Stegostoma tigrinum: one gene and its partners. The protein of the gene in region 1 interacts with the protein of each later gene in a pairwise test. Links are inferred from orthologs where the notes say so. Each region holds a gene or a part of one and is shown on either strand. Other genes may lie near its edges. The genes, in order: crk, ppfibp2b, inactive ubiquitin carboxyl-terminal hydrolase 53-like and psmc6.

Region 1 (7,962 bases):
TTGGGGACCGCTTTGCAGAACACCTCCGCTCAGTTCGCAACAAACAACTGCACCTCCCAGTTGCAAACCATTTCCACTCCCCCTCCCATTCTCTAGATGACATGTCCATCATGGGCCTCCTGCACTGCCACAATGATGCCACCCAAAGGTTGCAGGAACAGCAACTCATTTCGCCTGGGAACCCTGCAGCCATATGGTATCAATGTGGACTTCACCAGTTTCAAAATCTCCCCTTCCCCTACTGCATCCCTAAACCAGCCTAGTTCGTCCCCTCCCCCCACTGCACCACACAACCAGCCCAGCTCTTCCGCCCCCCCACCCACTGCATCCCAAAACCAGTCCAACCTGTCTCTGCCTCCCTAACCGGTTCTTCCTCTCACCCATCCCTTCCTCCCACCCCAAGCCGCACCCCCATCTACCTACTAACCTCATCCCACCTCCTTGACCTGTCCGTCTTCCCTGGACTGACCTATCCCCTCCCTACCTCCCCACCTATCTTCTTTACTCTCCATCTTCGGTCCGCCTCCCCCTCTCTCCCTATTTATTCCAGTTCCCTCTCCCCATCCCCCTCTCTGATGAAGGGTCTAGGCCCGAAACGTCAGCTTTTGTGCTCCTGAGATGCTGCTTGGCCTGCTGTGTTCATCCAGCCTCACATTTTATTATCTTGGAATTCTCCAGCAACTGCAGTTCCCATTATCTCTGATCTCTATAAAACTAGTGCTCTCTGGTTACAGATCTTTCTGACATTGGAGACAGTAACGACTGCAAGTGCTGGAAGCTAGAATCAATAAATGTGGAGCTGGAAAAGCACAGTCAGACAGCATCCAAGGAGCAGGAAAGTCAACATTTTGGACCGAAGCCCTTCATCAAACCCATCCTAATGGAGGGTCTCTGCCCGAAACGTTGACTTTCCTACTCCTGGGATGCTGTCTGACTGGCTGTGCTTTTCCAGCTCCACATTTTCTGACAAGGAAACTGTTTCATCCTTATCTATTCAATCCAAATCATTTGGGATTGTAAGCACACAAATCACAAGGAAAACAATCCAGTTTTCCTCACATCATCATCCCTAGTATCATTCCAGTTAAGGCAACATTTTGATTTTAAAATTCGGATCTGTGTGTTCAGCCCAAAGCAGCACTGCCTTCTAAATTCTAAAAACTTCCCGAGTTCAACAAACCTGAGATTCACAATCTTGGCATTTCCCTTGTTCCTGATTTTAATTGGTCCACTACTGGTGGTTGTGCCTTCAACAGTTGAGGCCTGTGTGTTTTGGATATCCACCCTGCTAAATTTGCTCCTATTTAAATTCACCTCCAACAAAAATTGTCATCTGTTCTAATATCATCTCATAACCCATTGTCAAATCAGGTCTAACAATTGCGTGCCTTGGAATGTTTTATAAGCAAAGGCACCAGATTCCCCATATCCCTCACTTTCTTTTTTTAAAAAAAGGACAATCTCAGCTTTTCAACACTGCGCTCAATATTGATACAGTATCCCTAACAGCCCAAGTTGTTTCACGAGTGTTATCAAATAAAAAAGCTTAACACTAATCAAAATCAGATTTTCAAGCAGAATAAAAGCAAAATGTGAGGCTAGAAATCTGAAAAAAAAAACAAAGCGCTAGAAAAATTCAACAAGCCCAGCAGCATCTGGCGTTAACGTTTCACGTCCAATAGGACTTCTCTTTAAAACCAGGGCAGAACGCTGAAAGTTCTTAATCTTACATTACTTATCATCGACTTTTTCACCGTCTTCGGATATTTGCCTTCCTTCCCCAAGTATAGCGACCAGCAATACTCGAATACCCAGACTGACAGAGCACTGCTGAAAAGGGGGAGGAAACGGAATGGACCACAAGGCACCTACCTCCAGAGCCAGGGCCGTCTTATCATAGGCATTGGGGACACGCTTCTGGAAGGCCCGGGCATACACCGGCCCGTTCTGGAGGTTGGGCAGCGAGGCACTGACACTAGGCTGGGCATAGGGCCCGAACTCAGGCTGCCCAACTCCGCCAACCCCCGGCGAGGGCTGGTGCTGGGCCGCTAACGCCTGGCCGCCCTCCGGGCTGTTAGCCGGGCCGAGCAGCGAGCTGGGCCGGCATTTCTCCACGTAAGGCACGGGGATCATGCCGCAGCGGCCTTCGCTGTTCTGCGCGTTCCACCACTGATCCTCGGGCTTGTCCAGGATGCGGAGCACGTCGCCCTTGCGGAACGGCAGGTCCTCCTCGTCGTTGCCGGGGAAGTCGAAGAGGGCGCGGACAAAGTGGGCCTCCTCAGACGGGACGCTGTTGGTGGGGATGTAGGCGGCGTTGGGCCTGTGGACAGGCTCCAGCAGGGTGGTGGTGTCCAGGTAATGGATCTTGTAGAACTCCAGCAGGCCGTGCAAATTCTCGAACTCCTGGTCGCCAATGCGGTAGCGCCCGGGCCCGGGGCCTGGGCCTTGCTGCTGCCGGCTGTTGATGATATAATGCGACACCTTCGAGTTCTCGCTGACACTCAGCACGTAGTCCCCTGGGATGGTGCGACTGTCCCTCACCAGGAAAGTGCCGTGCTTTTGGCCCATCAGCAGAGACACGGCTTGGTCCCGCCTCATGGGACCGAAGTACCAACTCTCTTGCTTCTGGGCGTCGAAATTAGCCGCCATGTCCCTCAGTGTGCTCTACCCGGGCCGGGCTACTCTCAGCTCCGCTCTGCCTGCCCAGCGGTGCCGGCAGCGGCCTACTCGCCGCCTAGGCCTCAGGCCTCCCTTCACAACACACTAAACTAAAGAAAATATAAAGTCCCCGGGCGGCAAACAGACGCGTGTTTACTTCATAAAATCCGTCCCCCCGCGTCAGTTCTCAGATCGGCCGCCTCTTGTTTGTGAAACTTATATTTTTTTTCCCCTCTCACTGTAAATCTGTTGGAAAATAGCGCGCGAGAACAGCGGAATCGTTAACTGCGCCCGACCCTTTTAGCCGATTTCTATCCGCCGACTTTTGATTAGGGCGTTTGTTCTCTAAAAGGGACCGCCCCACTGCGCACGCGCACTCCCTGGAGTGAGGTCGGGTGGAGAGAGAGAGAGGGCGAGCGCTGACCCCACCACTCGGAAGGGCAGCTCGTGGCGATGGGAATAGCCGTCTGCCATCTTGGTGAGGTCGTGTTGGACTCCCTTCTTGTGCTAGAGGGTCCAGCAATATCCAATTGCACCGACATGGCGCCTGCAACCCAGTCAACCAGGGGTGGTCCCGGGGCTGCAGATCATCAAACAAAATTGAAACAAAGAACTGCGGACGCTGAAATCCGAAACAAACAAAAACAAGAAATTGCTGGAGAAACTATGTAGGTCTGCCAGCGTCTGTGAAAAGAACACAAAGTCAATGTTTCGAGTCCAGTGAGCTTTCTTCAATATCATACGAAAATTTTATATTGAAACACCTGAACATGATTCAAGGGAGGATTACCAAACAAAGATTTTGGTACTGAAGCACTGAAAGACATTAGTTTGATACTCAGGTAGGGCCGTAGGGCCTGAGGACTGAGGGGTGGTGGAGAAGTTTAGGGCACTGATTCATAGAATCACACAGTATCGATGAGGTGCTTTGGTCCATTGAGTCTGTACTGTCAAAATATGCTAGTACCTATACTAGTCCCGTAATCAAGCAGTAGGCCCACAGCCTTCTATGTTATGACACTTCAGTTGTTCATTAAACTACTTTTTTAAAGGTTGTGAGCCTTTTGGCTTTTCACTTTAAAATTATGGTGCCTTGTTCTTAATTCCACTTGATACTTTCTCTCTGTCCACCCTCTCCATATCCTTCATGGTCTTATACACCCAGATACAGACTCGTCAACTTTCACTACTCCAAATAAAATAGCCTGAACTTATCCAGCCTTCCTTCATAGCTGAAGTGCTCTATCCAAGGCATCATCCTGGTGAATATCCCTAGGTTAATTACATAGCATTCACATCAAAATTAATGAAATAGTTTGTTTCTTTTTGTGAATGTATCGATAGGGCGGTCATGCGAATATGTAGATATGTTGGACTAAGGCAAATCCACATTATGCAGCCTGGACAGAGCTGATAGCAAAGCTACCAGGTGGATCAATTAAAATTAGGATGTTCAAGCAACAGAATTGAGGACCCAGGAGAGATGGAGGGACAATACCATGGAGGAATTCAGAAATAATAATGATTTGTTTTTAGACCATATATTAGGCCATACGGCCCATCAAGGTTGTTCTACCAAGTAATCATGGCTGATATGCTCCTCAACCCCATTCTCCTGGTTTCTCCCCGTAACCCTTGATCCCTTACCAATCAAGAATTTATCTATCTTTGTCTTAGATATGCTCGATGACTTGGCCTCCACATCCCTGTGTGGCAATGATTGCTGCAGATTAACAACCATTTGACTGAAGAGTTCCATCTCATCTCAGCTCTAGATGCCCCTACATGCTGAGACTGTGTCCTGGGTTCCTAATGTCTCCTAAAAGTGGAAGCATGTTTTTCGCAATTACTGTATCCAGGCCTCATTACCAATCAGATCCCCCCTCGATTTTCTAAATTCAATCAAGTACAGGCCCAGAGTCCTCAACCACTCCTCATTATGACAAGCCCTTCATTATTGGGATCATTATTGTAAACCTTTTTTGTACCACCTCCAACATCAGCACATCCTCCTTTAGATACGAGGAAGGAAACTGCCCACAATATTCCAAATGCAGTCTGGCCTGAACCCGATACAGCCTCGGCAGTACATCTCTTGCTCTTGTATTCTAGCCCTCTGGAAATGAATGTTCACATTGCATTTGCCCTCCCCACTGCCAAGTGAACCCACATATTAACTCTTAAAGAGAATCCTGAACGAGGACTTCCAAGTCTTTCTGTCTCAGATTTCCAAAAGCCTTTCCATATTTAGGAAATAGTCAATGCCTCTATTCTTCCTTCCAAAGTGCACAATTACATTTTCCCACATTGTATTCCATCTGCCAATTCTTTCAACACTAGCTTATCCAAGTACTTTTGCATCCTCCCTGATTCCTCAGCACTACCTATCCTTCCACCCATCTTTGTGTCATCTGCAAATATAACAACAATGCCCTCAGCTCCTTTGTTCAGATGATTAACATATGATGTGATTCTGTGATCTCAACATGAAACCATGCAGAACTCCAGTAGTCACCAGCTTCCATCCTGGAAAAGACCCCTTTATCCCTTGCCTCTGCCTTCTGTAAGTCAGACAATCCGCTGCCCCTTCAGCCTCACTAGTCCTTACCAACCGTGTTTCCGAAACTGAACTAGTTCCATTTGTCTATATAAATAAAAACCAAAAGAACTGCAGATGCTGTAAATCAGGAACAAAACCAGAAGTTGCAGGAAAAGCTCAGCAGGTCTGGCAGCATCTGCGAAGAGAAAATCAGAGTTAATGTTTTTGGTCCCATGACACTTCCTTAGAACTGAGTTCTAAGAAAGGGTCACAAGACCTGAAACATTATCTCTGATTTCTCTTCACAGATGCTGCCAGACCTGCTGAGCTTTTCCTGCAACTTCTGGTTTTGTTCCCGTTTGTCTGTGTTTGGCCACATTGCCCTCTAAACCTCCCCTATTCATGTACCTGTCCAAAGGTCTTTTTAAAAATGTTGTAACTGTACTTGCCTCTACCACTCCCTCTAGCAGCTCATTCTATATATGTACCACCCTCTGTGTGAAAAAGCTGCCCCTCAAGGTCCCTTCTGCGTCTTTCCCCTCTCACCTTAAACTTCTGCCCTCTGGTTTTGGACTCCCAAACCTTGGGGAAAAGACTTGGCCTATTTACCTTATCAATGACTCTCATGATATTATAAACCTCTATAAGTCATCTATCAGCCTTCTACACTCCATTGAAAATAGCCCCAGCCTATTCAGCCTCTCCCTATAGATCAAACCCTCCAGACTTGGTAATATCCTTGTAAATCTATTTTACACCTCTCAAGTTTAATAATATTCTTCCTATAGCAGGATGACGAGAATTATGCAGAGTGCTATTGTTATGAAGGAGTGGTCAAACCCCTCTGATAATTAAAACCAAAACCTCAGAGAAGCTTGCCTCACTTCATAATCTGTTAAACGAAATGCGAAAATTAGTATAACCTGCCTCTCACCTCCCAATCTGTCATAAAGGAGAGGTGAAAGTAAGATGAACTTCCGACATTCACTCACAATCAACAAGTAACAATTTATCTAACTCCAACAGTTAACAAATTAACAGAACTACTAACAAATTGAACAATTCACCCCTTAACTACAAACTATTCCCAAATAAGACAAAATTCTAATGGTAAGCTGCTCTAATTGATACATGTCCCACTTAGAAACCAAATTAATAAAAACAATTAAAGCTTAATCTCTCAAATTTACAGCCAGGATACACCTTCCAGATGCTCCACACCCTCTGAACTGATTCTCCACCAGGAATGCCTTTCGCTGTCAAATTCTGGTAAAATGCTACTGTACCTTTAATTAGATGATGGGTTTTTTTTCTGAGAGCTGATAGAATTCCATGAGAGCCAGTGTTTCTCTTTAGAGCTTATGGGTTGTTATTTCTCTTAGATGGCAGTTGCTCTTACCCTGATTTTCAAATACCCTCTTCTTTTATACTTCTGATGACCTGTTAATTTCTTATAATAAAATTGGTCCAAGGTTGTCAAAACCATTAGATTGGGGCCTAGTTTAAATTAATTGGATAAATTTCAAAGCCTGTTGATTAGTAAAAGATGCTGCTTTTCCTGCAGATATACCCACAATATACCCCCTCAATACAAATGTTTCCCTTCAGGAACTCTCTGTGCAGCTGTGCTGCTTGCAGACTTTTAAAATCTCCAAGCCTAGGAAAAACACACATCTATTTTTAAAGGAATATGCACTTTTCCCTCTTATCAATTTACAAACTTAAAAAAATCTAACATCCTGCCTTTTAATCCATCAATAGTATGCCCAATTTTGCAACACATCCCCCTCAGAAAAAAATGAACAATCATAATGAAAAATGGCTTCATTCTTTCTTCTTTTTTATCTAAACCTTAACACCACTATTACTCTATCCATAGCTCATTAATCCTGTGTTACACTTTTCATACTAATTCTGTATACATACATAACATTGAACACTAACGTTTCTATCTTATACACATTTTTCTTTTAAACCCAAAATAACGCTTCCGCAGTAACATTTTCACGACCTGTAACTTGTACAATATGTAAATTAAATGCTTGTATCATAAGGCTAAACAAAATAGGCTAGTGTTCTGGCCCTTAAATCTCACCAAAAATGTCAAATTGTTGTGGTCAGAGTACACGACTGTCTCCAAGACATTGTTTGCAATGTAAACATGAAAATGTTGTAATGCCAATAACTATTTTTAAATGGCTAAGTATTTTCTCTGGTGGATATTGAGTTTCTTTGAACAATAACTGATTGGCCTTTCAATTCCACAATCATCCTCCTGGAACAACACATCTCCGACGCTTACATTGTTTGTGTTGATGGTGACTTTAAAGGCTTTGAAGAAATTTGGTGCGGCTAAAACTAGTGTGGTAGCTAACGTAGCTTTTAAATTCTCAAATGCCTCCTGTCCTTGTTCTGTCCACCGAAATTTCATCTTCTCCTTTAACAAACTCCTCAGCGGTACCACCATGCTACTGAAATTTGGTGGAGATTTCCTGTAGAATCCGCTCAGTTCCGAAAGCGTAGCATTTCCTTCTTCGAGGATGGTCTTGGATATTCCTCATTGGCCTTCGTCTTCACATTTCTTGGTGTCATCCATCCATGTTCAATGTTGTGCCATAAGGACGTCACTTCTGCCTTCACGAATTCAGCTTTTGCAATATTTATGAGCAGTTTTGCCTTCCCTGGTCTTTCAAAGAGATCTGCCAAATGCACCATGTGATCTTTCCACGAATGGCTAAAGGTTGCTAATTCATCTTTATAGATGC
Region 2 (7,610 bases), on another chromosome or scaffold:
AACAGCAAATTCACTTTACACTGCAAGTAACTTTCCAATTGGAGAAACAGCAAATTCCACCTTACACTGCTTTTATCCAATGTAAAGGTCATTACAAAATTGTTTATGAAGAAGACATAATGAAGTGTAATCACTATTGTATTGTAGAAGACAATCAATTTGTTTGCAGTAAGATCAAACTATTTGCCTTTGTGACATGCATTGAGGCATAGATGTTGGCCAGGACACCAGGAATAATCCCCTTACTCTTCTTCGATATAGTGCTATATGATCTTGGACATCCACTGGATGGAATCGACAGAGTAGCAATTGACCTTATTTGAAAGACAGCATTTCTGACAGTGCTGCACTCCCTTATTATTGTCGTGGTGTTAGCCTAGAGTAGACACTCTAAAGTGATAGTCAAAACTCTCATTTTCTAATTTAGAGGTAAACATTATACCACTGAGCAAGGGCTGTGATACTGCAAAGAAGTGTAGGTTGGACTGTAATCCAGGAGACCTCCACCCCATCTCCAGACACTATATACCCACATTCCTATAACTGGTCACCTGACAGGTGAAGTGTTTAACCGTGGTGCTTATGGATGCTTTGTGGTCTGTCGTTACATTACATGGTACACACAACACATTGCCTTCTGGGTGGTTCAAAAAATTTCAATGGAAGCTTCAGGACAGGCTGAATCGTGACTACAGCAGGCACGACCACCAAGATTCACTGCACAAATATACCAAGACTCCTTAGACAACAGCCTCCAAACCAGAAATAGTGGGAACTGCAGATGCTAGAGAATCTGAGATAACAAGGTGTAGAGCTGAATGAACACAGCAGGCCAAGCAGCAGAGGAGCAGGAAGGCTGACGTTTTGAGCCTAGGCCCTTCTTCAACAAGTGTGGGAGGCATTGGTTATCCTCCAAGTCACACATCATTCTGACTCAGAACGATCTCGCTGTTCTTTTACTGTCACTGGATCAGAGTTCTGAACTGTCATCACTGTGGGGGTAAAGGCAGCAAATGGACTGCTGCGGTTCAAGGAAATGCTCACCATCACATCCTGTGAATAAATGGGCAAAAGTAACAGAGCAGAAAATAAGAACAGAGAGCACTGGAGGCACTCAGTAGCAGGTCTAGCAGCAGTCTTTCCAAGGGTTATGTTGGACTCAACTCCTCCTACAGAAGTTGCCAGATCTGAGTTTATCCTGCAGTCTTATTTCAGATCTCTCAGCATCTGCAGTGTATTTCGCTTGCTTTTAAATATATTCCGGATCCTTCCCGGATTGTACGGCTAACCTCTCTCCACATGGTGCAATCACTCACCCAGGCCACTGGAGGAGCTCTACATGATGGAAGAGATCTTTTGAAAAGCTTCAACTTCTGCCACATTGGGAGTTTTCAGGCAGGAAAAGGAGATAAGAGACAGTTAAGCCGATTTCCATCAATTGCTTATCGCATTTTGCAATGATACAACTATTAAAAAAGGGCACAGTGGCTCAGAATTTAAAGCACTTCAATTATTTACGCCTCTTAAATTATTAAGAAGCCAACTATAGAAATAGAACAGCACAGCGCAGACTTTTGTATGGCTCGCTCAATGGCTATGTATCTGTAAAAGCAAGGCAGACCAACCTATACAAACCAAATCCAACCATTTAACGAAAAAAAATACGATTACCACGTTCAAAAAACATCTGGATATCAGAGAGTTAAACGTCCAACGGGGACCGCAATGTAAAGCTACAGGTAGTGAAACCACGCACTCCATCCGATTGTAAGCAAAAGCGAACATTGTCATGGGGTCGGTCGACTCGCTGCCGTCCGGCTTAACACGGTTCTATTGACAAGTTTCTATTGCCACGGCGGTGGGGGGGGAAGATGCAGTTAGGACTCTGCCGGCGGTACGAAAATAGCTCAGTGCCCACACAGTTATGATAGTTAACCCTGGGGACAACTGCAAAAGTGTAACACGCCGTGGAAAAAGCGGCTGGCGATTGGCGAGCCACTCTGGAAGCGGCGCCACTGCATTCACATTACAGACAGGTCGCTGAGGTTATTTGTGGGGGACGGGGTGGGGCGGAGAACTGCGGGAAAGAGGATATCCACTCCACCGGCCACTTCGTCTCAATTGTAAATCTATCAGGAGGGGGAAGGAATAGCAGTAAAACAGAGTTCAAAAAGGTTTTCAAATCCAGCATCAAGGTATGCGCAAGTAATCAAAACTAAGAGAGTGACATTGGTAAGAAATAAGATGGTTTCAGTGCGCACTTTGACTAGGAGCTTGTGCCTTAAAAGGAGATATTTTACAAAATACAAGAGGAAAAAATTAAGTTGCATAATCAGCGCTCACAAAAAAGTTCCCAAAAAAGGTACCTGTAGATTCAACGGATGTTGTAGAAAGAAAACAGGCAGCAGTACACAGGCTGGCGTTCGGCATGCAAATTAAGAAATCTGACTGGTTACAAGAGGTTTTCAGGCGAGATTCAACTCCGCAGAGTTCATAAGATGTTTAAGCCATCAAAAAGGAGCTCTGCAACCAATTCATCACTCACATAAACTACAGCCCAACAAGTCAATTTATTTCTGAAGTCATTGTACAAACCCTCCGTGAAGAAAACGACCCTCGTCACTAACAAAATATCAGTTATTTTATATACACACATTCAGCTATTCAAATGGAAACTGATAAATTCTGTCTAAACAAATTTGAATCGACAAACTGTTTACAAATTGAAAGGCACCAAGGTAGCGGAAATATGGAAACAAAGGCTTTGCGCACAAGTCACAATTTAAAGCAAACAGGAAACTAACAGTGAGAGAAAGGGAAATAGCAAATTATTTGTTCAACTTCCCAAACAAAACTTTGTAGCTAGTGTGAATGATTCTCACCTGTTGCTATCACTCGCTGTAACCTGAACCGAACTTCGGGGCGTCACTCAATCCCCAGAACAAAACTTGCGTTGTGCAGAGAGCTAGGATTGCAGCCTTGCAACGGTACACACCTCTTAAACTCTCATTACCCCCTCTCTCAGTTTCCATGAGTTGGCAAGAGTCCCGTGAGAGGCGTTGTCATATGATAAAACAATTCCAGAGAAAAAAGACGTTGTTGCCCTTCATAATAGGAACCGCAGTGGGACACATCCCGCTCAGTTCCTGCTATTAGCGTCCTCCTCTGTTTGCAAGAAGAGACGTGTTCAGGGTCTTCCTCGAGCCTGTCCGACAATCGGGTGAGCAATGAATATTGTGCAGATTGATGCTATGTCTATGGCCCCTGTTCCTCAGCCGTTGTTCGCTTCCTCTCCCAGGACACTCTCTAAGGCTGAATCAGACAGTTCATCATTGGGCATACTACTTGGCCATTAGCTGACCACCATCCCCTCCCATGTTTTTTCCTTTTTCAGTGGGATGTGGATATCAGCTGAAGTCTAATCATTATCATGTTACTGTCATAGAATCGATGGAGGCAGGCCATTCGATCCATCAAGTTCACACCGGCCCATGCCATCTAGACCTATCCTTCTGCCCAAATTCTGTAACTCTGCATTCCCCATTGCTAATCCATCTAACCTACATACCCTTAGATGCTACGGGCAATTCAACATGGTCAATCCCCTTAATCTGCACATTTTTGGACTATGGGAGGAAACCGAAGCACCCGGAGGAAACCCGCAGGGGAGAACATGCAGACTCCACACAGACAATCAGCCAAGGCTGGAATCAAACCTGCACCCTTAGCTCTGTTCGGCAGCAGTACTAATTGTTTTATTCGTGAAGCGTAGAACACAGTATTCTTTATTAATGGATCTCTCTACTTGTCCTGTCACCTTTAATGACTTATGTGAGATATAGTTATGTCCCTATAATGCTCAGCACCAGTGGCAAAAAGGACGAAGGAACATCACCTCACTCCAGGTGCCTCTTATTCTCATGGAGACAGGTAAAGGAGGAACCACATGTAGGCTACTCAGTCGTCTCCCCTCAGTACAATTGAGAAGTGGCGAGGCCTTTGGCCTTAGGTGTGTGGGACTTCAAAGTGAGGAGTGTGCACCAATCTCTGGACAGGACTCATCCAGCATATGAGGGCCATCGAGACGCCAATGCCCCAGGGTGCCAGATTGAAATGCCAAAACCAACGCGTTCTGCTGTAGGGCATGCTCCTTCATCCTGGCTGCAGACTCCAGGAATTGCATTGAGCCTTTTAGAGAGGGAAAGGAAGAAGACCTTCTGAGGGTACATGGGAGGCATTGACTAGACAAATCAAGTGAGCAAGGGTGACCTCGAAGCCTAATTTCTAGGGTGCATCAGGCATTGCTTCCTAGAGCAGGCCATTACAACACCTCTACACAAACAGGTTGTTTTAGATCTAGTAATATGTAATGGTGTAATTATAATAAGAGATCTATAGTCAAGGATCTTCAAAGGAGGAGGGAATCGCAATGTAGTAGAATTTCAAATTCAATTTGAGGAAGATCAGCTCTGGTCTTAAACCATTGACCCTGGTGTAGATAACTGCAGTTATGAAGACTGAGTTGCCTGAAGTGTGCTGGGAAAATCGACTAAGTTAAAGTCAGTGAGTGAACAGTGGCAGCCATTTAAGTAGGTATTTCATACCACTTAGCAAAAATTTATTCTGATCAAACGTAATGACTTGATGAGAAGTATGAACCACCCATAATTAAATAACACGGTCAAGGAGAGTAGCCAATTAAAACAAAGGCATACAAAGCAGAAAAAATGGATGACTGTAAAGCTAATAATTAAAGAGGGGAAAAAATTAAAAAGGAAAGTAAATTGGCATGAAATATAACAACAACAGCAATAATTTCTAGGGGTATATAAAAAGAACGAGAGTTTCCAAAGTAAAGGTGGGATCTTGGAGGATGTAGATGGAGAATTTACAACAGGAAACAGGGAAATGGCAGATGATATAAACAAATTTAAATAAGGGAGAAAGAAATGCAAAAACTTCAGTCAGCCTAATATCTGTCATTGGAAAAATGCTAGGGTTCCATCAATAAAAAAGAAATAGGAGGGCATTTAGAAAAGCTTAATGCAATTTAACAGAGTCAATGTAGTTTTGTGTTAGGGAAATTTACTTGAGCTCTTTAGGTCTAAAACAAGTCGGGTTGGTAAGGGGGAACCAGTAGATGATATGTATCTGTATTTCATGAGATATTCAATAATGTGCCAGATAAAAGGTTCTTGCTCAAACTGGTGTGGTCTTGGGAATAATATATAAGGGTTGGTTAATGCACAGAAGGCAGTAAGGATAAATAGTTTTTTTTCAGGTTGGAAGAACAGAATCATTAGAGTGCTTCTAGGATTAGGGGCCTCAATTATTTACTGTCTATTTGAATCTAAAATAGGCAGGATTGGAAGACATGATGAGGACATAAGGAATTTGCAAAAGGATATTGATAGGTCATGTGAGTGGTCAAAAAATTGTACCAAAATTTTGAGGCTTTCACTTTAGTAGGAAGACTCAAAAGACAGCCAAAAAAGTGCAGTGCAGAGGGATTTTGGTTTTCTTGTGTTAGTTCACATGCAGGTGCAACAAGTAATTAAAGCAAATAGAATTTTGGCCTTTATTGCCAAATAAAAGTGTTGAAGTTTATAAACAGGAAAGTCTCATTACAACTGTGCAGGGTATTGGTGGGGTTGCATTTGGAATATGATATACAATTTTGGTCCCTGCATTGAGAAAAATGTACTGGTTTTGGAGGCTATTCAAAGGGCATTCACTAGATTGGTATCTGAGATGAAGGGATTTACTAATCAGAAACAGACTTGATCTTTATACGTGAAAGTTTAGAAGAATGAGTAGTGGTCTTATCAAAACATATAAGATTTTGAGGGGGCTTGACTTTCACTAGTGAGGGAATCTCAAACCAGAAGACATAGTTACAGAATTAGTGGACACTTGTTTAGAATTGAGGTGGGAAGGAATTTCTTCTCTTAGAGGAAAATGAATGTCTGATTTCTCCAACCCAGAGAGTTTTGGAGGCTAGAGGACTGAAAACATTTAAAGAGGGGTAAACAGAAATTGAAATATCAGGAGGTTGATGGATATGCTGACCTGGCAGATGAGAGGGGTTGAAGCTAGGGGCATGTCAGTCATGACCTTGCTGAATGGTGGGGCAGGTGTGAGGAGCTGGATAGCCTACTCCTTCTCCTATTTGTTATGTTCTTACAGATTGTGTTCTTCCAGGAAGTCCAAAGGTATCTCCAGCTTATAGCCGGTGCAGTATGCTTTCAGTACTAAGCGCAATGCATGAAACCTCTTATATAGCCATGAACTGCTGCAGCTGGTTTGAAAATGTGTTGAGTGCCTAGACAGAGAGAGTCTCAAACAAACAGATGCACAAATGTTAAAATCAACAACAACAAGATAGCCTTCTTCGCCTCTGCCACCAATGTGCCCTCATTAAGTCTTTCTTTTGCACTCCCCAGTTCTGCAGTTGGGCTGGAAAGAGCCTGCTCTAATGTAAATGTAGAACCCCAGACGTTTGATTGGGCAACTCAGGGGGTGTTTCTGTCTTGACAGGCGGAATGTGACAAGAATAATCTTTTCAGAGTTGACCCTCCTTAGCTTGAGGGGGTTGGAGGATATTAGGCAAGATGGAAATTGGGGTGGGGGTGGGAGAGCTGACCACCACCCCAGTGCCAAAAACAGAAACTGCTAAAGGATTTGTGACCCATCACTGGCTGGGGTCTTCTGGGACCACTCAGCCTGCTCGTGAGAAGCGGACAACTGGGAGTGAAATCAAGGTTCTCTGCACCCCACCTCCTGTAGCCATGTCTTTAGTCCTGAGGATAAAGGGCTCGGGTGATGCAGTGTGTGCCTATTCAGCAGCACCTGAAGGTGCTGTCTCTGACAATATAGAGCTGCCAACCAGTCCCTGGAGTCAGATAAACAGTTGGATGTTTCACTGCGCTGATGCGATTCCTGGGGAAGAAGGGTCATTAGGTCCCAAGTGGCAGTGAGCTCACAGGGATGTGCCAGTACCCTGGGGAGTTTCTCCCTAGCCCAGCTGCGGAGCTGTCACAGTGAGGTGTTCGTCAGATTTAGTACCCATACTCTCTGTGCCCATGGTTCCCACCAAGGTCATGGAGACATACAGATGTGAAGCACAGAAACAGACTCTTTGGTCCAACCCGTCCACGTCAACCAGATATCCTAATTTAGTCTAGTCCCATATGCTAGCATTTGGTCAATATCCCTCTAAACTCCTCCTCCTCTTGTACTTATCCAGATGTCTTTTAAATATTGTAATTGTACCAGTCTCCACCACTTACTCTGGCAGCTCATTCCATACAAGCACCATTCTCTGTGTGCAAAAGTTGCCCCTTAGGTTCCTGTTGAATCTTTCCCTTCTGATATTAAAGCTATGCCCTCTAGTTTTAGACTCTCCTACCCTGGGGAAAAGACCTTGACTATTGACCCCATCCATGCCCCTCATGATTTTACGAACCTCTAAAAGGTTATCCCTCACCCTCTGACACTTTAAGGAAAATAGCCCCAGCATAATCAGCTTCACCCAATAACTTAAAACTTCCAATCCTGGTAACATCTTTTAAATCTTTTCTGAGCACTTTCAATTTTAACAACAACTTTCC
Region 3 (7,831 bases), on another chromosome or scaffold:
AAGTGGAGGCCCAACACTGATCCCTGTAGCATACTAATTCAAATTTGCAAACCAGGAAATGTGACATCTATGCCTATCTTCTTAATAAAGTGTGGAGCTGGATGAACCATCCCCCTTTTCTGATGAAGGGTCTAGGCCCAAAACGTCAGCTTTTGTACTCCTAAGCTGCTGCTTGGCCTACTGTGTTCATCCAGCTCCACACTTTGTTATCTCGGATTCTCCAGCATCTGCAATTCCCATTATCTCCATGCCTTCCTTCTGTCTCCTCTCAGTTAGCCAATCTTCTACTCCCGTGCGTTTTTATTTCCCACAATATCCTTCAACATGACACCTTATCAAATACTTTCTGGAAACGTAAGTACAGTGTAACAACAGGTTCAACTTTATCCATATATTACTTCACAAAAAAAAAGGCAAAAACTGGATAAACAATTTCTCTTACAAAAAACCATGTTGACTCTGCCCTCAAGGAGTCCTGACAAAACTGGACACAATGGGAATAAAAGAGAGAACTCTCCACCAGTTGTAGTCACACCTGGCACAAAGGGAGATGATTGTGGTGGAGGAGATCACTTATCTCACCTCTTGGGTATCTCTGCAAGAGTTAATCAGGAGTGTCCTCAGCCCAAATATCTTCAGCTGCTTCAATGACCTTCCCTGAATCTGGAAGTGGAGAAATATTCACTGATAATTGCATTATAGTCAATACTATTTGCAACTCTTCAGATACTGCAGCAAGACCTGGACTATATCAAGGTTTGGATCAAAAAGCAGCAAATGACACTGATACCACACACTGCTAGGCAATTACCATCTGCAATGAGAGAATTTAACCCCTCATAGATATTCAATGGCATTACCATCCCCGAATCCCCCTTTATCAACATTTGGAAAGGTGTTTCAGGGTTTTGACCCACTGACATTAGGGAACAGCGATATTGTTGCTATACAGGATGGTGAAGGCGATGGCTTAGAGGGGATCTGGTCAATGTTGGTTTCCCCTTGTACTTGCCGCCCTTGTGCTCCTGGATGGTAGCAATCTTGGATTTGGTAGCTGCTGCTTAAAGAGTCTTCTGCAGTACATTTAAGAGAAAGTACACACTGGGACTAGTATATGTCAGCTGTCGAAGGAGTGAAGGTTTGTGGACGTGGTGCTAATCAAGGAGCTGTTTTATCCTGGATGATGTTAAGGTTGTAGTGTCTTTGGAGCTGCAATCATCCAGGAAACTCAGAGCATTCCATTCTATTCCAGACTTGGACCTTTACAATGGTAGACTGACTTTGGGGAGAAAGGAGGTAGGTTACTCATTGAAAGATTCCTACTCTCTGACCTATTCTATAGCTGTAGTATTTTTATAGCTAGCTCTATTCAGTTTCCAATCAATGGTAACCACTCCAGGATGTTGACACTTAGGGATTCAGTAATATTGATGCCACAGGGCAACAGTTAGATTCTTTCTTGTTGGAGATGAAACTATTCATACTTTCCAGTATCCGAGGATTCTCAAATTGTGCAATTCTCAGCAATGTCATTAAGAAAATACCCACTTTTAACCTTATAAAAGGTTATTGATGAAGCTGCCTAACATGGTTAGGCCTAGGACATTACCCTCAGCAACCCGTACATTAACCTCTTGGAGCTGAAATGACTGACTTCCTACAATCACAACCATTTTCCTTTCTATAAATACGAAAGTTTCCTGATTCCCATTGATTCTAGGTTTTGCTAGGTTCCTTGACACCTCACTTAGTCAATTATGAGAAAACAGCTGACAGTCTATTAGAATACGCAGGTTTATAGGTAAGAGAGGCATGGATGAGGGTTTCAGCAGTTGCAGAGTAGAGAAATATAGAGGTGATAATGGGCTGTCCTAGCTGTGGCACAGAAATGTGATCAGAAGCTACCTCAGATATGATGCCAAGCTAATGAACAGTTATCCAGCTCGACAGTTGCAAGACAGCAGAATATAAGTTGTTAGCAAGGGAATAGAATTTGTAGCAACAACCAAAGATAATGGATTTCCAATATTTAACCAGAGGGAAGTTCTGTCCATTCAGTCACACAAAGAGTTCAATAACTTAATCACAATGGAGCACTAAGAAAGATAACTGCTGAGAATCATCAGCAAATTTGTTAGAACTTACCCTGTGGTTTCAAAGGATGGCTTATAAAGAAGAAATGGGATGGGGAAGGAGGAAGGATAGATCCTGGGAGTGGCATGGGTGGTGCAGCAGAAGTTATTATGCCCTAACAGGAATAGAAGCCATTCCACATACTTCTTTAGGTGTATTTTGTTAGATAAGAATAAATCCATGGAGCGTTGTCCTACCTGTTGGATGATAGTGGAAAGGCATTGAAGATGTTGTTGTTAACAATGTCAAAAGACTGCATTCAGAAGGAGAAGGAATAGTTTTCCTTTGTCAAAACCACATAGAAAGTCACTCTGACTTTGATAAGAGCCATTTCAGCACCATGGCAATGATGGGAAAATTACTGGAGCAATCCACAGTACAATTTTAAATCAGCTGATGTTTGCAAAGAGTTAAAGATGACAGGCTAAACTTGAAACCACCAGCCAGGTGACGGAAAACTGTTGGGATGGTTTCAGAGGTAGACAGATTGAGAGGGAGCATGTGATATTACAGAGGCTCAAGGAGGTTGCCTTCATTGATTTAGCGACTGTGTCACAAGCATTTGTTTCAAAGTGAAAATTCTTATAACTTTTTCACCACGACTAAGATTATTAAGCTAAGAGGCAAGTTCTTATACTTCCATACGCCAGTACCATCTAATTGGAACTGTGGTCTATTGACTTTGAAGGTGGCTACAAGTTATTCATAATTTTTATGGACCTAAAGGGCTGGAAAATACTTCACCATTATCAGAGATGTAAATCACAAATTCCTGTTTGTAGGTTCAGGAATTATTAAATCGTTGCCCAGATACAAAACCCTCTTGATCCTACAGATTCTCAGGCAAGTGGTTTGGCCTGCCACGTCATTGGTGGCTCTCCTGAATAAACAATTCATCTCATGCCATTCTCTTGCCTTCTCCCAGTAACTCTAAACGGTCTTCATTTTTAGATAATAATCCAGTTCCCTCGTGAATGCCTCAAGCCAACTTGCCTTGATCACACTATCAGATGGTGCATACCAGAGTTTAAACACTTGCTGCACAAGAATTTTTTTCATGTTTCTATTTTTTTTGCCAATTACTTTAAATGTGTCCTCTCAGCCTCTCACCAGTGGAACAGTTTTATTTGCTTACTTACTCTGTTCAAACGACTGTTTTCAATATTAAATATCCTTTCAACTTTTCCAATATCACCCGTGGGGTGGCATAGCAGTTAGCACTGCTACCTCAGCGCCAGGGACCCGGGTTCGATTCCAGTCTCGGGCGACTGTCTGTGCGGATTTTGCGCATTCTCCCCGTGTTTCTGCTTGGGTTTCCTCCCACAGTTATGTCGATTGGCTATGCTAACTTACCCATAGTGTTCAGGGATGTGTAGATTAGGTGGGTCTGGACGGGATGTTCCGAGGTTTGGTGAGGGCTTGTTGAGCCGATAGGCCTGTGTCCATACTGCAGGGATTCTTTGATCATAGAATTTCAAGCTAAGGAAAAAGTTATTTGGACAATCACTCACCCTAACTCTTCCCGTTCCCCCCCCCCCTACACACTCTACGATTGATAATTGAGTAATAAAACATGAACAGTGAAACTGAAGTTGGAAAACAGCTTTCAAAAGTACGCAGCGTTCGGGATCCTGAACCTCTCCGCTTCCCCAACACCAGGTTGGCCACATCTCTTTTTCATTTTTATCTTTCTCCTCTTTTTGATAGTGACCGCGAAAGAAGGTGGCATCACTACCAGCAAGAGCAGTAGCAGGCAGCCCAGGGTGGTTGCAGCTGTGAGTCGAAGCCCTTTTGATGAGTGCGAGCTTAGCATGGCTAGGTGCTTGTGGACTGTGGTGTTGAACTATTAACAATGTTTTGTTTTTCTACCTTTTAGTAAGGAGGACTGTAATGTTTAACTTTTTTTAAATGTTGGTTTCATTATTTTACCCCTTTGTACCTAGATTCTGTACCAAGGTATCTTTGTTCCTAAGATGGCGCTCTAAGTGGCGACTTGTAAACTTTTCACTGTGCTCGTGAGTTTACATTCAAATTCAAATGAGAAACTACATTATACCATAATTGCACTCAATAAAATACTGGTAAAAACTTGTTTATATCATGAAAATTCCTGACCCATACAAACATCTTTCAACTTAAAAGCAAAACTAAATTATCTAGAGATAATAATCCAAACAAATTATCTAACAGGGAGGAGCAGCGGCCGGACAGATCGCAGAGATTTCCAAACTCCATTCTTTCGCCGTTCGCCTTGATTATTGCAATCACTGGAGGCTCACTAACTCGGTTAGTGTTATTACCACTGCCCAACCTAACGCCTCTTTACTTCATCACGAAAGGAGGTCAGTGAGGAAGAATCTCCTCCCCGAATACCCCCATCTCTTGGCACCACTCGTTCATACGTACTCTCCTTTGAATTGTACACAGAGCTACTTTGCCCGATCAATCGTTTTTCCTCCTGCTCTCAAATGACAGGCAAGGAAGGAGAACTACAGACAGAAAGACAACACCGACCTACACCTAGCGTGGGGGTACTCGCCGTTCTGCCATCCCTCCCCGCTTCCCTGAGCCGCGGCTGGAGTCGCACGTGACCGGACGCAGGCAGCTGGAATCAGCTGGTGGTGACGCAACGGCGCACGGACCTGGTGTCGAAGGCGGACGGTTGGACCGGAGTAGTCTCCTTTCGCGCGCCGCTCGACTTACCTGCCAGGGCAGCGTCTTCCTGCTCCTTCTTCTCATTCTCCGTTCTGTAGGCCCGCCGTCCTTCGTCCAGTTCGCGGCCATCACCATCGCCACTCTGGGGAGTGTGTGTGTCCGAGGACGGCGATGAAGGACTGTGGAGGGTGAAAAGTGTTGAGATTTTCGAAGGGGAGATACCCCATGGACAGCAGTCGCTTCACCTGAGGAGGGGAGGGCGGCGGGGAGCGAGGGTGTGGGGGTGTTCGCGAGGCACCTGGCAGCCAGTTCGCGGCCCGAACCGCCCCGCCCCCTCCCTCTGTCAGTCCGATTGTTGTGGCTCGCGCCATTCCCGGGACAATGGCCTGGATGAAGAACTTGCTGAAGCCTGGAGGTAACCTGCGGAGCGGCTACCAGCCCGGGAGCATGTTGTCCATCGCCCCCCCCAAAGGGCTTCTGAACGGACCCGGAGAGAACAGCTGCTTCCTCAACAGCGCGGTGCAGGTAAGGGAACGGCACCTGATCCGCACTGGGCTCGGGCTGCGTTCAGCGGTGCGCCGACAGCCATAACAACGACTGCTCGTTCGACACACCTTGAGAACCCATGTTTAAAAGTCGGAGGCAATCTTCCCTTTTTTTGTGGAATTGTGTCTGGAAACTTTTAACTCCACCCGACTGCTTCCCGATGGAAGGAATGCAGTGACACCCTGATTGCACCGTATCTGGCGCAGTTTATCATTTCGGATCGCTGTAGGGGAAATAATTTTAAAAAACCCTCATCCATCGTACAAGCTGACTGCAACGATTCGTCTTCTTTTAAATTATTTTGTTGGGTATTAGCTTTTAATTGTTGCACGTTGATAGTTCAGCTGTCGCTGTACTTTGCAATACCTTGTAAACCAAACTCTATTGTTATCAAGGCGAAATCGCAGAGAGCGTCACCAGATCCTAAGAGGAAGACGGGAGGAGGTGAAATTTTAACAAGTCTGATGCAGATAAAATTTGCAATCTGATTTTGAAATGGAACATTTAACTCTTAATTTCATAGGACACAGATGTTATGCTGCAGGTGGACTTTATTTTTTTTAAACGTGATGATACTGCAGGGAAAGTACTGTTTTTAGATGTTTGTAGATTTTGTTATAGGCTTCTATTTTATCCCTCGGTCTCAATTTTTTTCCCTGGGGCTATTTGTCTACTGACACATTTGAGGAGTGACTAGCATTTTGATTTTGTGGACCCCTTAAGTGTTTTATGTCTTAAGAGTTTGACCAATGTAGCCACCAGTTTTCATGTATCTAAAGCTATCAATAACTGAATATTCTGATTTGTTTTTTATTTAATGATTTATTACAAACTTCCAGACCTGCAAGGTTTGAACTGGGCGTGTATACAAAAAGAGATACAAGCTAAGTTATACTTCAAAATAGGAAAGAACTATTGTACATATTTGGAAGGTGATTCTACTAACTTCTTTGGAGTCATCAGAAGAATTACTCAGTTTGAGTAACTGACGTATTTTTTAAATACTGTTTTTAGTTGAGTTTCAGCTGGTTGAAAAGTGATTTGAATGGTGTATTGTTGTAGTTAACTGAAGAGTTTTTCTGTTATAAATTGTGGATCAAACACATTCTTCACATTTTTGCCTGAATTGTGTAGTGCAAACGTACAGATTATATCTCTCTTCAGACTACTTTTAGAAGTTGAAAAATGGTTTTATTATTTAAGATCTGCTTGCGCAAGCTATATTTCAAAGACTTGTAACAACACAGCTCTGAGCCTTTTCCTTTCTTGAGAAGCAAACTAAACCTATCCATTCTTTCCTGATCATCAGCTTTTTCGTTTGTTTCTTCACAAGTTCCTCCACATCCTTCCTACAACATAAGGAAATATTGTGCACAGTACTGTGGTTAACCAGGTTGATAAGTTGCTATGTCTTCTCAGTTCTTTTATCAAAATGAACCCCAGTTTGTATTTTTAAAGTTGCCCAAGCAAGGAACAGGTAGGCAGTTTAGTATACTGAAAACTTAAAGTAATGTAGAAAACAGTATGACGTAAACAAACATTTGTAATTTGTTTCACTTCAGAAATATTTGTCAGTTTAGGTATGCTTAAAATAATGTGGTCCTTTAAACTTTTGCAAAACTGTGGCTATTGTTGTCCTTGTTTAGTTATACTTCAGATGACTTCGGTTTGAATGAAACTGCAGGTAACATGTATGGGGGGAAAAGTTTCAGGTATGATTGGTGATGAAGTCACAGTAGTTTTGTAACAAAAACAAATTGCTGGAAAATCTTAGCAGGTTTGGCAGATCTGTGAAGAAAAATCAGAATTAACATTTCTGGTCTGGTGTCCCTTCCTCAGAACTCAGGAAGGGTTGCTGGACCCAAAATGTTAATTCTGATTTTTCTTCACAGATGCTGCCAGACCTGCCGAGCTTTATCAGCAACTCCTGTTTTGGTTCTGATTTACAGCATCTGCAGTTCTTTCAGTTTTTATTTAGTTTTGTAACACTTCAGTTTCTTTGTATGGCAAAGCATGTGCACAAAACACCCAGTCTGTGGGAGAATGCTATTCAATTCACGCTCATGGAGAATGGTAGATTTTCTGCAATAATTGTTAACTTACTGTGGAGTTAGAAATGTTCTTACAAAAAAAGATTTGTGCTTTACAGATAGTGTTGTACTTGGCACAACTTATGGGCTGAGTTTTTTTCAGTGATTTTTGCCTACTGAGCAAAGCAATAAACAAACTTGTGGCTGTTCTAATATCAAAAATACTTTACATCAGATGAGAGCTTTAGATGAATTGTGCCCTGGAAGACTGCGCTTTGATGGAACAAATCCTTATGAACTGTTCATTATTTTTGTTCATGTGTATTTTTCTAGCCTATATTTCCCATAGAAATTTAAACTCTTTATTTTGCTGTAGGATAGTATAGATTTTCAAGACCATATGGCTCCGCTTGACTATGCTCGAAAATCAGTTTTTGCTCATAGTTTCTGCAATTGTGCTCAAAATG
Region 4 (7,075 bases), on another chromosome or scaffold:
CACTCCCTCCACCACTGATACACAGTCATACCATATACATGATGAATTACAGCAACTCATCAGTGTCCTTGACAACATCCCCCAAACCTCTCCCACTTAAGACAAGGACAGCAGAATGGAAGCACCATTTCATGTCTACTAGTTCTCCAAGGCACATACATTCCTGACTTGCAAGTTTATTCAGCATTCCTTCATTTTTGCTGAATGAAAACATGGAATACACTTTCTAACAACTCCAAGAATGCCAAACCAGCTCGACTACAACAGTTGAAGGTGGCAGTGCATCATGGCATTCTGACAGGTAATTGGGAATGGACAACAGATATCGATCTTGCCAGCAATACTCATTTCATGAAAGATTAAAAATAAATACAACTTATTCATCCCTGACAAATGTTTTATATTCTCTCTGTACGATCTTGAAGGCCTTGACATCCTTCCTAAAGTCTAGTCCCAAGAATCAAATACGCCAGATGAGATTTAACTAGTATCTTGTAAAGGTTTCACACTTTTTAACACATGCTATTTCTAAAGGATTGCATTTGCATCTTTAAATGGCCTTAACTTGGCCTGCCATCTTTAAATATTTGTGTTTATATATCAAAGATCTAGATGTTCTTGTATGCCTTTTAACATTGCCAATACTTATTCTTTCTACCATAATGCATTATTTGATATTTTTCTGTGTTCAATTTCACCTGTTTAGAACTGGAAGGAGGGTCACTGGACCTGAAATGTTAACTTAGTTCTCTCGCCACAGAGATATCGCCCAAATTTTTCCAGCACTTTTATTTACAGTTTGTGCTTATGTGCATATTTTGTGAATGTAAGCATTCTATGTAGAAATCTCGGATTTAGAAACTGCAAAGTATATTCTGAGACACTTTGTAACACGTGAGACACCACAAACATTGTCAGATTGTGCGACATTGTTCACAGACAATTCCACAAACTTGTTGCACTTAAGACTTCAGTTTATTTAAAAATAAATTTCTCCTTTGTAATTAATGCATACAAGTTCAAGATTGGTATTTAATCTTTTTTCACCTACATATACAAAACTGCAGTTAATGGAGGTAGCAAGCAATATTCTCTAAGATCTATTCAGGAGTGTAAATTTTCCAGCAAGCTAGGAGACAGGACTCCACCCACCAAGAACACATTGCCAAAGCCTTGTTAATTGGGCTGTACATCAGTTAAATCACACAGTGGAGGGAGAAGGTATAGTGGAAGCAAAGATTTTGAAAGAAATTTGATAGTAACATGTAATGCACAATATTTTGCCACAAGTATGCCATAATATTAACAATAATTGCTGCTTCCTTTTAATTACATGAAGCACAAGATTATTTAAAAAAACACTGATCAGATGCTTCAAAACTAAATACAGCCCATGAAATATTTCACTGCCAAAGCAAGTTATTTACGAGCTAACATTTTTCCACGTATTCATTTAAATACTACCTTTGTGATAACATTTTTATAAATAAAAAGCTTTACTAAATAGAATATTGCCCTGTTTTGATGTAACACACAGAAAATTTCCCAAAACAAGCTTTATCAAGCGATTTCCGCATAAAGGGTATCTACACAGCAAATTTAAAAAGAAAGTGAAGTTTCACCAAACTAATCTTGGGACAGCACATTTGTCTCAAGAGCAGGGACTGAAGAATTAGGTCTGGGTGCTCAGCATTTTAAAGAATGAGAAGTGATTTCAGGTAAACTTACAAAATTCTCACAGGATATGACGGAACAGGTACGGATACAAGTTTCCTCTGGCTTGTGAGTCCAGAACCAAGGAAAACAGTCTCAACGCCAATATTCACTCAGAGGGTGGCGAATCTTTGGAATTTTCCTTCTCTGGAGAGATGTGGGAGTTTAATCCCAGAGTATGCTCAAGACCCAGAAACTGATACATTTGATGGGACAAATGGCCTACTCTTGTTCCTATTTCCTCTGCTGCCGGTCAGTAATTAAACAAACATAGATACTTGAAGCATGGAAAGCATTAATTTAGTTATCCACCTCACATACTTACTGGACTGTTTCCAGTATTTTCTATTTTTTTTGTTACAGACTCAAGCAAGAATATGTAATTATAATTGGGAATAACGTTACTTTTGTATTTTATTTCACACTACATACTTTATCAATTTCTACAAGTAACAAGCGAACTGATAACACGAAAATTTTATAGATCCTGTCAGTGCTTCATTCAGCTTTTGTTAGTATCCCGCACAGTTAGAATAACATTATGAAATGAATTAAAATATAAATAACGTGAAAACAGCGTTCAAAACTGCCTCAACAAAATTATCCTGAACGGAATTCTGCAAATGTGAGCGGTAGGACTACTTGCATCGCTTTCAAAGAGTTAGTACAGGCACGAAACCAAATAGTATTCCTCCACGTTATTAAAAAAAATTGCATTCGTGAGAAATATAAAGATACAAACCACTTATGGATGCAGTTTATTCCGCGAAATGCCACACTATCAAATTAGACAGGAGATAACTGTCAGTAATTTTTAATTCCAGATTTGTTTAATTAACTGAATTTGAAGTTTCAGGGTGCTAGGATAGGATTTTAACTTCTAGCTCCAGATTATTAGCCGCTGATGGTTGGGATCATCTCCCTTCCAATGGGGCCCACAACAAACTCCTTTCACTTCACATAGAATCCCGGACTACAATTTCCTACATCTTACTTGTGTGATTTAGAATATGAATCACAGCGGGAACTGGAGCGAAGCCTGGTCTGGAAGCAGACCGGTGAGGCTGCTCCTTGAAGCTGCGATTCACTCGGCCCCGGCTTTACCCAGCATGACAAAGCGAGTCAGCATCAGGCCCCGTTTCTACTCGCTCGTACATAACATAGAAGCCGCAGTTACACCCCAACCCATTAACCATGAGTAAAATGTGGAAAACATACACTCTTTCAGGCGGCCGTCGATCTCTTTGTGCTCCAATAATTTTTTCCTGTAATCCTGAAGCGCCTTCTCCCTCGGATCCGCCATTGATGTTCAGCACCAAACACCGCCTGACGAGACGAAGCTCCCAGCCGCATTTGACAATGAGTCTCTTCTGAAGCAAGAGTAGCCACTGACTGGGAAGGTATCTTACCTCCAAAGTGTACAGCCTCTAGTGGCTAGAGGTGGTATGGCTGTCGTGTGGCTAAGCCCAGCATCTGGTTTGGCCAGGCGGAAGTAATGAACGCGCCAGCAGCTTACATCATATTGATGTCTCAATGGTTATTGTTGAGGTTTTCTGTAAGAAGCATTGCGGTTGCTGGGAGATTTGTCGTCATAGTCCGTTGTACTGTCTGTCTTGTGCTATCCTCACACATTCACTGTAGATTTTCTGCAACTGGCTTTGTGTTGTTTGACATCCAACCCCTAAATAGGTTGGCCACTCTTTCTGCTGTCCTTCCCTTCCCACTCCAGAAGATTGTAATGCTTCGAATGTAAACATATCTTTAGTTAAGTGAGCAGACCAAAACTGTACACAATATTTCAGATGTAATCTCACCAAAGCCCTGTACACGTATAGCAAAATATCCCTACTTTAAATTCCTTGCAATAAGCAACAACATTCATTTGCCAACTTAATCATGTATTGTAATACAGTCTTGGTTTTTGTGACTTACTGTAGAAGATATCTTTCCGCATCATAGTATTCTTTAATGTCTCTCAATTTAAATCAAATGCTGCTTTCCTAATCTTCCTGCCAAAATGGGCAAGTTCAAATCTCCCCACATTAAACTTTATTAAACATTTGTCCGGTCACTTAATCTGTTAATAATAAGTGCAGACTCTTCACAACTTATTTTATCACCTATCTTTGGGTAATCAGTATTTAACAACCATACATTTATTCTCCTCATTCAAGCTATTGATTTAAATTAGAAATAGTTGAGGCCCCAGCATGATCCTTGTGGAACTCCACTTGTTTTTTTCTTGCCAACCTGGAAATGATCGATCTACGCTTATTCTCACCTGGAGGTCATAATTTGTGTAATAAATATTGATGGGAACCTTATCAAATGCCTTTTGGAAATCCAAAAACACTGCAAGGACATTTTCTCTGTTATCTTTGTTGCTTATTACTTCCTTAAATAACTGACAAATTAGTCAAACACATTTACACAAAACCATGTTGATTTTGACTTATAGTAAGATTTCTAAATTCCCTGCTATAACCTTCTTAACAACAGACTCTGGCATTTTCCATCTGCCAGCTCTTATACTACCTGGCCTATAATTTCTTGATTTCTTTCTCCCTCCTTTCTTGAATAAAATCTTGAATACATTTGCCATTTTCCAATCTGATGAGACAGTTCCAGAATACAGGGAATTTTGGACATTGAAGCTAATGCATCTACTATCTCAATAACTAGTCTTTTTAAGACCTTAGGGTGAAGTTCATCAGGTCCTGGTATCTTCTCTACCTTTAATTCTAATATTATTCTTAGTATCCTTTTCCTAAGAACATAGAACATAGAAAGGTACAGCACAGTACAGGCTGAGATAATGGGAACTGCAGATGCTGGAGAATCCAAGATAATAAAGTGTGAAGCTGGATGAACACAGCAGGCCAAGCAGCATCTCAGGAGCACAAAAGCTGACGTTTTGGGCTTAGACTCTTCATCAGAGAGGGTGTCTGATGAAGGGTCTAGGCCCGAAACATCAGCTTTTGTGCTCCTGAGATGCTGCTTGGCTTGCTGTGTTCATCCAGCTTCACACTTTATTATCACAGTACAGTCTGAAATTGTTTTTAGTTTATCTCTTCCTTTCACTGTTGACTTACGAGTATTTCCAGGATGTTATTTGTGTCTTGTATGAAAACAGACAGTATTATCTTCAATGCATCCACCATTTCTATAACTCACATTGTTAATTAGCCAGACTCATTTTCTAGAGGACTAAAGCTCATGTTGGTTACTTCCTTCCTTCTAAAATACCTATAAAAACTCTTTTTGTTTTTATTTTCTAGCCAGCTTTTGCTCATATTTTAAGTTATGTCTTCTCTTGTTTTCAGCTATTCTCTGATGTTTTTAATATCTCATAGTGTCCAGGGATGTGTAGGTTAGGTGATTAGCCATGATAAATGCAAGATTATGGCGAGAGCGTGTGGTATGGGTTTGGGTGGGATGCTCTTCAAAACGTCAGTGCAGACTCAATGGGTTTAATGGCCTTCATCTGCACTGTAGGGATTGTAGATGACTGATGTAAATGTTATGCTACTGTATACTGGGCTCCAGTCACACAAACAGTCTCCTACCACTACCCCCTTCTCCTGTCACTAAGCCAATTTTGGATCCAACATACCAAATTACCCATATTCTGTGAGCTCTTATCTTTTTGTTTAATCAGTTTCCCATGTGAGACCTTGTCAAAGATCTTGTTGAAATCCATGTAAACTCTGTCAATTGCCCCACTCTCATCCAAACATTTGGTCACCTTCTCAAAAATATCAACCAGATTTGTTAGGCATGATGTCCCTCTGACAAAGTCATGCTGACTCTCCCTTAACAAACCATGCCTCTCAAAATGGAGATTAATTCTCTCCGTCACTCTTTTCTACAATATTTTACCAACCATTGATGTCAGACTCATTGGTAGATAGTTGTCTGGTCTATCTGTCCCAGCCTGATGGAGATTATAGATTAAATGTAGCAAAATTACAGAAACAATTATTTATTACAACTTTATTCTTTGTTGTGTAAGATAAAATACGAAGACTCATTACAACTGAATGAAGAAGTTTAAGAGCAGCTGGCAAGTGAATTAAAAGAATATGTTATCAATTATGCTGTAGACAAAGAAGATGATAACATCTAGATCCTGCAGAGTTAAAGTCAAAGTAACAGCTGCAAAAATGTTGCCCATAATTTGAGTCTAAATAGTGATACTGTCTTGGAACATGACTAAAGTTAAAAATATCCCCTGATGTCCTTTTGGGGAGGATGTTTGTCATCTTTTGCTGGTCTTGTCTACATGTGACTCCAGATCCATTTAAACCTAATTGATTCTTAACTGCCCTCTGGGCAATTAGGAAAGAGCAATAAATGCCAACTTAGCCATCCTGACCCATATTCCCCTCAACAATTTTCTTTAGTAATAGATGCTGAAATTATTGTAGTTAAGATTTCAAGGAAATAAATAGAATGTTTATTCCTTAATTAATATCGAATCCTTTTCAAGTAAACCCACCTTTTCTACTCTACAGAAAATAGTTCCCGGTCAGACTTCCACGTTTCATGATTATAAACTAATCAGAAGGCCTGATTGTTTAAAAAATTGCATTGTAACCCTGTGACTGTTGTTAAACTTTGGCATCTATATGTGGCTCTTCCCAGAGTGAAAATTCTCGATTCTGTTAAACTCTTTGGTGAAAGAATAACCTGAAGTCCTGTATTTAAAGAAATATTGTCGCAAAACACAATCTACTAATTTGAGAACAAGCATGTTGTCATGCTGGCTGTGCCAACAAAGTTGATTTCAACGTCATTCGTTGGAGGTCAATCAATTTTGTCCAAGGCGGAAATGGGGTTAGTGACACGATAAAATACTCATTTGTCATGCCATGAGAAAGGCTATTTTCTGTATAGGACGGTGTAACACAGGTGTGACATCAGATTGTATATCTTTAAATAAATAAAACACAAGCAAAGATCCCTCCCTTGCCAGCAGAATCTAATTCCTCTAAATGGAAGCGAACGAGCACGTAATCCACGTCCTCTCAACACTGAGAGGAAGTTGTCCCTCCACTGATCTGATTCTGTACAGTGTCTCAGGCGCATGGTAACAAACGGCAAATCGAACAACTACACCACCGGAGGTGTTTGGTAGCGTCTCGGGACGTGCGAGTTTGGTGTTGCACATCAGACCAGGAAGTATTGTGAAATTTACCAGGAGGTGGAACTTCTACCAGCAAACTTTCAATGAGTCGAGTTTGTTCACTCCCAGTTGCTGGTTCGCGTTGGCATTTATTTTTTTTTCCAGCATTTGGATTGAAGCGGTTTGTTTGACCGTATTAGGCGAGATTAAGCATTTCTTATCATGTTGACACGGGTC

The links.
Region 2: the proteins of crk (region 1) and ppfibp2b interact in binary tests that used the Homo sapiens proteins (3 or more experiments, as listed by UniProt). The link is inferred for Stegostoma tigrinum from reciprocal best matches to the Homo sapiens genes CRK and PPFIBP2.
Region 3: the proteins of crk (region 1) and inactive ubiquitin carboxyl-terminal hydrolase 53-like interact in binary tests that used the Homo sapiens proteins (3 or more experiments, as listed by UniProt). The two-hybrid records come from large-scale screens. The link is inferred for Stegostoma tigrinum from reciprocal best matches to the Homo sapiens genes CRK and USP53.
Region 4: the proteins of crk (region 1) and psmc6 interact in binary tests that used the Homo sapiens proteins (3 or more experiments, as listed by UniProt). The two-hybrid records come from large-scale screens. The link is inferred for Stegostoma tigrinum from reciprocal best matches to the Homo sapiens genes CRK and PSMC6.

What each region holds. Positions count from the first base shown.
Region 1 is NC_081380.1:46,981,506-46,989,467, forward strand, and holds the start of crk (adapter molecule crk), read right to left. Parts: upstream 3,010-7,962; 5' UTR 2,650-3,009; coding exon 1,873-2,649; intron 1-1,872. UniProt on the Homo sapiens protein: Involved in cell branching and adhesion mediated by BCAR1-CRK-RAPGEF1 signaling and activation of RAP1.
Region 2 is NC_081370.1:38,748,266-38,755,875, forward strand, and holds the start of ppfibp2b (liprin-beta-2b), read right to left. Parts: upstream 3,036-7,610; 5' UTR 2,883-3,035; intron 2,401-2,882; exon of another isoform or gene 2,367-2,400; intron 1,374-2,366; exon of another isoform or gene 1,317-1,373; intron 1-1,316. UniProt on the Homo sapiens protein: May regulate the disassembly of focal adhesions. Did not bind receptor-like tyrosine phosphatases type 2A.
Region 3 is NC_081354.1:68,133,914-68,141,744, forward strand, and holds the start of inactive ubiquitin carboxyl-terminal hydrolase 53-like, read left to right. Parts: upstream 1-4,745; 5' UTR 4,746-4,836; coding exon of another isoform or gene 4,837-4,923; 5' UTR 4,924-5,169; coding exon 5,170-5,313; intron 5,314-7,831. Other genes in the region: uncharacterized protein LOC125463357, read right to left, coding at 583-663, 4,837-4,923. UniProt on the Homo sapiens protein: Deubiquitinase that mediates 'Lys-63'-linked deubiquitination of tight junction proteins, such as MARVELD2 and LSR, and which is involved in the survival of auditory hair cells and hearing.
Region 4 is NC_081363.1:46,102,997-46,110,071, reverse strand, and holds the start of psmc6 (26S proteasome regulatory subunit 10B), read right to left. Parts: upstream 3,091-7,075; 5' UTR 3,017-3,090; coding exon 2,932-3,016; intron 1-2,931. Other genes in the region: ero1a (ERO1-like protein alpha), read left to right, coding at 7,061-7,075. UniProt on the Homo sapiens protein: Component of the 26S proteasome, a multiprotein complex involved in the ATP-dependent degradation of ubiquitinated proteins.